Linked DNA regions of Arabidopsis thaliana. The protein of the gene in region 2 interacts with the protein of the main gene of each other region in a pairwise test. Each region holds a gene or a part of one and is shown on either strand. Other genes may lie near its edges.

Evidence for each region. The genes of interacting proteins can lie anywhere in the genome.
Region 1: the proteins of AT5G24740 (region 2) and SHR interact in a protein complementation assay, tested with the Arabidopsis thaliana proteins (one study listed by BioGRID).

What each region holds. Positions count from the first base shown.
Region 1 is NC_003075.7:17,690,101-17,694,359, forward strand, and holds SHR (GRAS family transcription factor), read left to right. Parts: upstream 1-1,586; 5' UTR 1,587-1,770; coding exon 1,771-3,366; 3' UTR 3,367-3,759; downstream 3,760-4,259. UniProt on the Arabidopsis thaliana protein: Transcription factor required for quiescent center cells specification and maintenance of surrounding stem cells, and for the asymmetric cell division involved in radial pattern formation in roots. Essential for both cell division and cell specification.
Region 2 is NC_003076.8:8,486,866-8,491,867, reverse strand, and holds the start of AT5G24740 (vacuolar protein sorting-associated protein, putative (DUF1162)), read left to right. Parts: upstream 1-2,000; 5' UTR 2,001-2,164; coding exon 2,165-2,270; intron 2,271-2,371; coding exon 2,372-2,449; intron 2,450-2,530; coding exon 2,531-2,643; intron 2,644-2,727; coding exon 2,728-2,821; intron 2,822-2,901; coding exon 2,902-2,945; intron 2,946-3,123; coding exon 3,124-3,192; intron 3,193-3,494; coding exon 3,495-3,556; intron 3,557-3,844; exon of another isoform or gene 3,845-3,929; coding exon of another isoform or gene 3,930-3,952; coding exon 3,953-4,160; intron 4,161-4,600; coding exon 4,601-4,669; intron 4,670-4,766; coding exon 4,767-4,846; intron 4,847-4,982; coding exon 4,983-5,002. Other genes in the region: AT5G24750 (UDP-Glycosyltransferase superfamily protein), read left to right, coding at 41-100, 214-253, 564-788, 973-1,047.

The DNA of each region.
Region 1 (4,259 bases), on a different chromosome or scaffold from region 2:
TAATAATTACACATTGCTGTTTATATAAGGTAAGAGAATATGACACATTGGTTGGTTTCTTACGGGTAAATGTGAAGAAAAAAAAATAGTAATATTTGAGAAAATCTAAAATAGTAAAGAGGTATATATGGAGAAGAAGAGAGAAAAGGGAAAAATAGTGGCAGAGAATGGAGAGAGGTTAGGAGGCAAAGGCAAATGTGGAGCTTTGATGATGTTGATGCACGCCGTCAGCTTTTCTTCACGCCTGCTCCCACTCACTCACACCTATGAACATTCTCTCTCTATTTTATAATTATATTCACATGTCTCTATGTTACTATGTAAATGGTGACCACTTAAGTATTTATATATCATGTATATATCTTATAGGTATCATACAAAATGGTCATGAAACTTTTGCAATTTCAATCTACTTGTTCATTGTAGATGCTAGCTTTTCACATGTTTTGAAAATTAGTCTGGATCTGAAATTCTTTAATTAGCATTGTTTTGTTGGTCAACGTTTAATTTCTTGATTATTGATGTCAAAAATTCAGAGCGTTCAGAACTCTTACACTAATTTCTTAAAAATAATCGATTAAGAGAAAATAGAGTTTTCATGCACCAGTGTTGATAGTAACGTAGTCGCGGAATGTCTAAAACGATTATGAGTTTGGTGTTTTGATTGGTTAGAATTGGTATTAGTAGGACATTCTAACTTTTTTGTTAGTCTGTTGATTTAGGATGCGTAAAGAGTCTTTTTATTTTACACCAGTTGAGACTTGGGATCGATAGTACTTGAAACACTTGGTTGGTTTCATGTATTTGGCCTATATATAAACAAACATCGTAATTATATACGGATTTTTTTCGGAATTTTACGCCATATCTGTAAGTATATATAACATGCATGTCGTTTTCAAATTCATATGATGAACGATCCACGTAAGTGCTACTACTCCTACAATATTGCATGAGAGAGATATGTATTTATAAATTTTATTTTGAAGAAGAAATAAGAGGGAAGGTTACTTGGGTGGATCGATGTGAAAACAAAAGAAGAAAAAGCGAAACCCACTAAGCCATTACATGATATCGACCTTCTTATCTTTTTCCTCTTTATTTTATTTTTCTCAGGACTTTTTTCTACTTAATGAAACCTCCAAACTATCTAACTAATACACTCCCATGTAGAATAAAGAAAATTATATAAGATATTGTTGATATTTTGTAACTAGAAAATATATTTGCTCTGTAATTTTTCGTAAGTTAAATCAACATTTTTCAGTAGAAACAAATATTACTGCAAAAAGTAGGATCATTATTTTTGTCCAAAATCTCAGTTAGCTATAGGGTTGTAGTAAAAACAAAACACATTCTTGATTTGCCCCAAAAAATAAAGAGAGAGAAGAATATTGTTCAAAAGTGGTCTCTTCTCTCTCTAATTATGTTTTCACTAAACCCAATTAGATTCAAACAGTCTACAAAGTCCAAAAGATAAACATGGGACAACAATTCGATGCAAAAAATCCTCTTTTCATGCTCTTTTTTTATTCTCTAGTCTTTTAAATTACTAATAAAAACTCACAAATCCACCAAACCCATTCTCTACAACTCACCTTCATCTAGATTTACCCACTCCCACCGAGAAACACAAGAAAAAAAATATACATATATAAATATACAAGACAACACATGATGCTGATGCAATATACACAACAAAGTATTAAATCTTAGATATTGTGGGTCTCCCTTTCTTCTATTCATTTTCTTATTCATTAAAAAAAAAAAATGGATACTCTCTTTAGACTAGTCAGTCTCCAACAACAACAACAATCCGATAGTATCATTACAAATCAATCTTCGTTAAGCAGAACTTCCACCACCACTACTGGCTCTCCACAAACTGCTTATCACTACAACTTTCCACAAAACGACGTCGTCGAAGAATGCTTCAACTTTTTCATGGATGAAGAAGACCTTTCCTCTTCTTCTTCTCACCACAACCATCACAACCACAACAATCCTAATACTTACTACTCTCCTTTCACTACTCCCACCCAATACCATCCCGCCACATCATCAACCCCTTCCTCCACCGCCGCAGCCGCAGCTTTAGCCTCGCCTTACTCCTCCTCCGGCCACCATAATGACCCTTCCGCGTTCTCCATACCTCAAACTCCTCCGTCCTTCGACTTCTCAGCCAATGCCAAGTGGGCAGACTCGGTCCTTCTTGAAGCGGCACGTGCCTTCTCCGACAAAGACACTGCACGTGCGCAACAAATCCTATGGACGCTCAACGAGCTCTCTTCTCCGTACGGAGACACCGAGCAAAAACTGGCTTCTTACTTCCTCCAAGCTCTCTTCAACCGCATGACCGGTTCAGGCGAACGATGCTACCGAACCATGGTAACAGCTGCAGCCACAGAGAAGACTTGCTCCTTCGAGTCAACGCGAAAAACTGTACTAAAGTTCCAAGAAGTTAGCCCCTGGGCCACGTTTGGACACGTGGCGGCAAACGGAGCAATCTTGGAAGCAGTAGACGGAGAGGCAAAGATCCACATCGTTGACATAAGCTCCACGTTTTGCACTCAATGGCCGACTCTTCTAGAAGCTTTAGCCACAAGATCAGACGACACGCCTCACCTAAGGCTAACCACAGTTGTCGTGGCCAACAAGTTTGTCAACGATCAAACGGCGTCGCATCGGATGATGAAAGAGATCGGAAACCGAATGGAGAAATTCGCTAGGCTTATGGGAGTTCCTTTCAAATTTAACATTATTCATCACGTTGGAGATTTATCTGAGTTTGATCTCAACGAACTCGACGTTAAACCAGACGAAGTCTTGGCCATTAACTGCGTAGGCGCGATGCATGGGATCGCTTCACGTGGAAGCCCTAGAGACGCTGTGATATCGAGTTTCCGACGGTTAAGACCGAGGATTGTGACGGTCGTAGAAGAAGAAGCTGATCTTGTCGGAGAAGAAGAAGGTGGCTTTGATGATGAGTTCTTGAGAGGGTTTGGAGAATGTTTACGATGGTTTAGGGTTTGCTTCGAGTCATGGGAAGAGAGTTTTCCAAGGACGAGCAACGAGAGGTTGATGCTAGAGCGTGCAGCGGGACGTGCGATCGTTGATCTTGTGGCTTGTGAGCCGTCGGATTCCACGGAGAGGCGAGAGACAGCGAGGAAGTGGTCGAGGAGGATGAGGAATAGTGGGTTTGGAGCGGTGGGGTATAGTGATGAGGTGGCGGATGATGTCAGAGCTTTGTTGAGGAGATATAAAGAAGGTGTTTGGTCGATGGTACAGTGTCCTGATGCCGCCGGAATATTCCTTTGTTGGAGAGATCAGCCGGTGGTTTGGGCTAGTGCGTGGCGGCCAACGTAAAGGGTTGTTTTTATTTTTTCATAAGGAATTCGCAAGTTCGATTTTTACTTGAGATGGTTTCACACGTGTGGTGATGGTTGATGATGGGCTTTGAGATTGAGAGAGTTACGATTATGATGATAATGCAGTTCATAATATGAATTTGGATTTTGGAATAGGACTAATTAAGTAATTCTGATCATTGAGGTGGGTATCAAGGTTCATACAATTCGTGATTTTTTGTTTTGTCTTTGGTATTTATTAATTTTAAAAATCCATTTTGGAATGAAATTTGTGATTACTTTTGTTTATCCGAAATAATAGGGTTTATTTTCCTCTATAATGAATGTATGGTTCTATGTTACACGAAAAGCTCAAAACTAGTAAGTGAGTTTCTTTCTAGATACGTGAGCTTTATATGTAAATTAGTTACTGTTACATTGGAGGATCATTGAACTACTGGAATTATAATGGTGGAAAAATATAGTATAAATGAATAAGACTAGCAATAAATATCAAATTCAACAACAACTAATACTGATTAAGTTCTATAATTATTCCATGTTTTTTTTGTTAGATATAATATTCCATGTTTCTAATAAAAGCATGTTCACTACTTCACTTCTTCTCGGTTCGTGAATATATATAAATAGAATCTTAAGACAGCTACTTTGGTTAGGGAATCTCTTAGTTGGAATCTCGTGAATGCACCTCTAGTGGCTTGCACGCTTCTGAAATGTATATTGTCATGCTTTTGATCATTCATAATCGATCTTATTAAGGTATGTTTACATATATATGATCCTAGTGAGCGATTAATATTAGAGGTGAACAGACTCTCACACAAGAAAGGCTTATTTTACATTTATACATTATCAAACTCAAAACACTGGAATATACGATTAGACCTCAAA
Region 2 (5,002 bases):
GGCCATATAACTTTCTTAATTCGTTGTCTCTCTGAATTAGTATGGTGCCATACAACTGGATGTTCCGAACATGCGCTGCAGCGATTCATCACGGTGGCAGGTAAAAATGTCACATGGATATCTTTTCTTGGTGAGCATGGACACACATATAAATAGACGTGAACTGATTTTTTCTTGTCTTTCTATATGAATTGTGTCCCCTGTGGAAATCAGCGGTTCTGTTGCTGCAGCATTACAGGCTGGAATCCCGCAGGTTTGTGTTTGTATGTTAGTTTATTAGATCTTTGATATATAAGGGTAAAACTAATTGTTTGTCGAGAAGGATCAGTAGAAATATAGCTGTACAGTAACCAGTACATCAGAAGAACATGTCATGGTCCTTCAATAAACTTTATTGCTATATGATTACTCAGCCAAAAACTTTACTAGTAATTTTGCTCATAAACCATAGTTTTGTGCACTGCTTGGTTACAAAATGATGATTAACGTTCTTAAAGCGTTATCCATTTCAAGTTGTAATGCCAAAAAGTGACCACATAATGTGTGTATATGTCTTTTTACAGATCATATGCCCATTTATGCTGGATCAGTTCTATTGGGCAGAAAAGATGTCTTGGCTTGGAGTTGCTCCTCAACCATTGAAAAGAAACCACCTGCTTCTAGAGGACTCAAATGATGAGAAGAACATCACGGAAGCTGCACAAGTGGTAGCGAAAGCCATATACGATGCACTGTCTGCAAAGACTAGGGCTCGTGCCATGGAAATTGCTGAAATATTATCTCTTGAGGTAACTATTTACGATCAGTTTACTATTCTTCTCCTCCTGATCCATGCCCCCAGAATCAAAGTATCCTTTCTTCACATGGAGTTTTTCTTTTCTTTTCGATGTAGCGTAGTCTTTTCTCTTTCATAGTTTTGAGTAATTTCTGGCAACTGGTAGTTTTAAGGTATCCAAAAATTAATGATTTCAGGATGGAGTCACAGAAGCTGTGAGAGTGCTTAGAGAAGAGGTGTGTGTAGTTTCAGGCAGCAACCGAATATTTTGATGAGCATTGTCATATATACAACGTAAAGCTCATATCAAGTGATGGTGATCAATGCCCTACCGATTGTTGGCATCCATAAATTTAACGTCTATTAATGTTACCAAGTCTCCATCTGTCCCAATATAAAAGACGTTTAAGGATTTTCTCTTTTATTCCATTTTATTAGTTTTCTCTAGTTTCTATGTACAATTTATATCATTTTATGACTACTTAAATTGTACAATATTTATTTCTATTAGTTGAAATTTTATAAATGAAAAAACATCTATGATTTCTTTATCTTTGGATTAAAATATATAAGACATCATATAATTGTTTTCCATTTAACTAAAATCAGTTTTAGAGATTTGAATGTTTTAAAAAGTTTGTGATTTTTTTTTTTTTTTGTGGGTCAAAAGAGTGCTAACTTTATTATATCATATAGAGCCATTACAAACTAGTACAAGCCTGAAAGTTTAGCGGGAGACTCAAACCCGAGAGTTTACGAGAAGCCTAAAGAGAATTACAAACAAAAGACACACAAAAATGGGTAAAACATACCCACATAACTAAGTTTTTAAACGATCTTAGCAAACTGGAAAGAAACAGATCAAACTAACAAGGAACTAATAGTAAGAGAAATTCCAATACAAAATAAAATACTAAGAAGAGAAAAACTGAATCTCTCGCTTAACCATCATCCCCATTAACCTTTACATTTAACGTGTGACATGGCGAAGCCATGAGTGCAATCCCATCAACCCACAATCAACCCGAAACTTCTACAAGAGCCTCAAACATCGAAGCCATGAGTCCCAAAAATTTGCGAGTTTCAAATCCCTTAAATAAGAGCCAATTAGCGTATTAGCCGGTTAGCGTAATCAAATTTGCAAAAATTGGGAAATTTTGGTCTGACCCGGTTCGGTTTGAAAGGTACGAAACCGAAAGAAATATTCGTCTTGTGATTGTGAAGAAGAAAGAAGACAAGTCTTTGTTTCGTCGACGGGAAAGAAAAACCCTACGATATTCCTCGACTCGTTTACACTTCTCCGACCACCGTCTCTTTCCTTCTTCTCCCGACGGAGTAAAATTCGTTATCGCGTTTTGAATCACCGGATTATGAAATAGCGATTGAAAGATGCTTGAAGGATATGTGCAAGGATTTGTGAACCTGTTGTTAGGGTACTTAGGTCGTTACATTAAAGACATCCAGAAAGACCAGCTCAAGATCTCACTCTGGAATGGTATTTTCACCGTCTTCTCTTTCCATTTTCCGTTTCAACGAACACCACAATCTCCCACTGTATTTGATGATTTACGCACAATTTCTTGCTTCTAACTGCAGGAGAAGTCTTATTGGAGAACGTGGAATTGAATCCTGAGGCGTTTGAGTATTTGCAGCTTCCAATTGCTCTCAAGCAAGGTGATAGTTAGTGGATTGAAGTTTCGATTCTGTCAGCTTTTTTTCGTTTTCTCGGGATCAAATCGTTTATTGTTTATATAGGCCGTGTTGGGAAATTGAGCATTAAAATTCCATGGAAGAAACTTCATAGGGATCCTGTAACCATTATGATTGAAGATGTCTTTATATGTGCATCGCAACGCAATGATCAAGAGGTGATTACTCTTGTTTAGTAGCCCTTTTCTACATGAAAGTGTTTGCCTCTAAAACCATATATGTATATTGCTTGGTCATTGCAGTGGAGTTCAGATGTCGTTGAGAAAAGAGAGTTTGCTGGTAAGAAAGCTAAACTTGCTTCTGCAGAACTGGCAAAATTGTCCAGGCGTGTCTTCGGTGAGCAAATATACTTCTTGTCCTACAAAATTTATCTTTCCTATACAAAATTTGTTGAGTTCCTTCATTTTTTTTCCCAGACAATCCAGGCGGAAATTCTTATATGTCATATATTACTGCCAAGGTAACATTACGTTCCGCAATCCTCCTTTTGCTACCTCTAGTTAATCATCTTACATTTTTCATATTATGATTGATCTGTTACTGGTTTTTAGTAGATCTTCCTGATTTTGGATGAGGTTATCAATCTTATTTATTTTATTTTTTTCTACTATGTTAACGTTCCTTCTTTCTTGGCTTAGATTCTTGATAGCGTTCAAGTGTCCATCAAAAATTTTCACATCTTATACTCAGATGCACAACCTGAATCGGTAAGTCTCTTGCTTGTTCAGTTTAATTAGTTTGCTAGAATATAGGCTTGTATTTTGTTATCCTCCCATTGATATTGTTGAAACTTATATACATCGATCATATCGTAGTATTGGTTTGTTTGTGAGAGCATAGCATTTATCATGGAGGATATGTATCTAGATAGAGTCAAATATATTTGAGCATTGTGATGCTAAACTACTATCAGTCTTTCTTGTGATTCACTAGAATATAACTTGAATAATCGTTTGGTGTTGTCTACTTTCCCACTTTCATATGTTTTTACTCTAAACTGCTGTCACAGGGGCAAGTTGTATTAGGATTGCGGTTTTCAAGCTTGACAGTTACTAAACAAAACTCAGTTGGGTAATCTCTTTATGCACCTTCTCTTGCACTTTTAAATGTACTCCACTTTGTGTTTGATTCCGAGCTTTGCTTTATATATGGCAAGGATATGTTCTTTGAATTACATTGTGAGACAGCAGAGAGCAGACCCCGCATTAATTTCTTTCCAGTTGCCTTGTTTCTTCTATGTCACTTAATATATATTCTAGTTTCGTATTTGATTCCTTGTAGCTTTGCTTTATTCTATTGGTTTGGCGATACCCCATTATAACTTTCTTCCAACTGTCTCTTTTCTTACTGTAAAATCTCCTTAAACCTGTTTTTTCCATAAGCTAAATTATTGTTGATAAGACAAGACCTGTGGTGGATATATGTGCTTCCTGAAATATTTGACATGATGTCTCTGTTGAATATCAGGCCATCAGTTGGTAGGGTGAGAGGGGGGCAAGTGAATATACTTGTGGAGGTTGAAGGTTTGGAAATATATTGTGACATGTATGAGGGAAACATGGACTTTCCAAGTGTTAATGAAAAAATAGGTTTTGACAATTGGTGCCAGTCAAGATTGCAAAGCAATAGATTTGGTTATTTACTGAAGCCAGTCCATGTTTCTGTAACGCTATTGGTAATGGATCTAAAACAGCGTCATTGGTTTGCTGTCTCTTAACATCTTTTGTTATCATCTAATCTTTGTTGCTGCTTCAAGGTGCTACATCCTTGCTCTTGCTTTAGGGTTATGTTAAAAATGAGATGTACACATTTATATGTTATATCTGCCGTACTGAGTCTTGATTTACCTGATGGCCTACGAAATTTTGATGACATATTAATCAATCAATGTTATCAGAAAGGATTTGCATAACATTTTTGCCAATTCGTTTATATGTCACCATCAGCTCCATATGGACATTGTGTTTGGTGAAAGATTTTTACAGCTATCTGATCAATGATACAATATTTATACAGAAAGTAAATTGGTCTATGCATCAGCTATTGCTTGAGTGCATTTTTGTGCTGTATGTAAATAGGCATTCTTCATTTTGCCTGATATACTTCTTTGCATAGGTCAATCGATCTGGAGAGCTTTATGACGATCTTCCTCAGTATTCTATCAGCGCTGAGTTGACTGATGTGGTTAGTTCTCAGAAATTGCTAAACTAGGTTCAGAGCTCAGATTTATTTACCATTTCATGACTCACTCTAACTTCCAATTGGCACTGATGCGTTTTAGGTGGTGACTCTGAATGAATTTCAATTGCAGCAGATTCTTATTCTGTTAGATTATTTGCAAACCAGCCAGTTGCGTGAGAGGTAAGCTTTCATTAGGGTAGCGATAATTTTTCCTCAATTCAAACTTTTTTTCCTCCTGAGATTTAGCTCTATTATTGGATACTACAGAACGTTTTTTTGAAGAACTACTGATTAAAGAACCTTTTAAATGGTATAGGTATGGGCGGTATCGTCCCT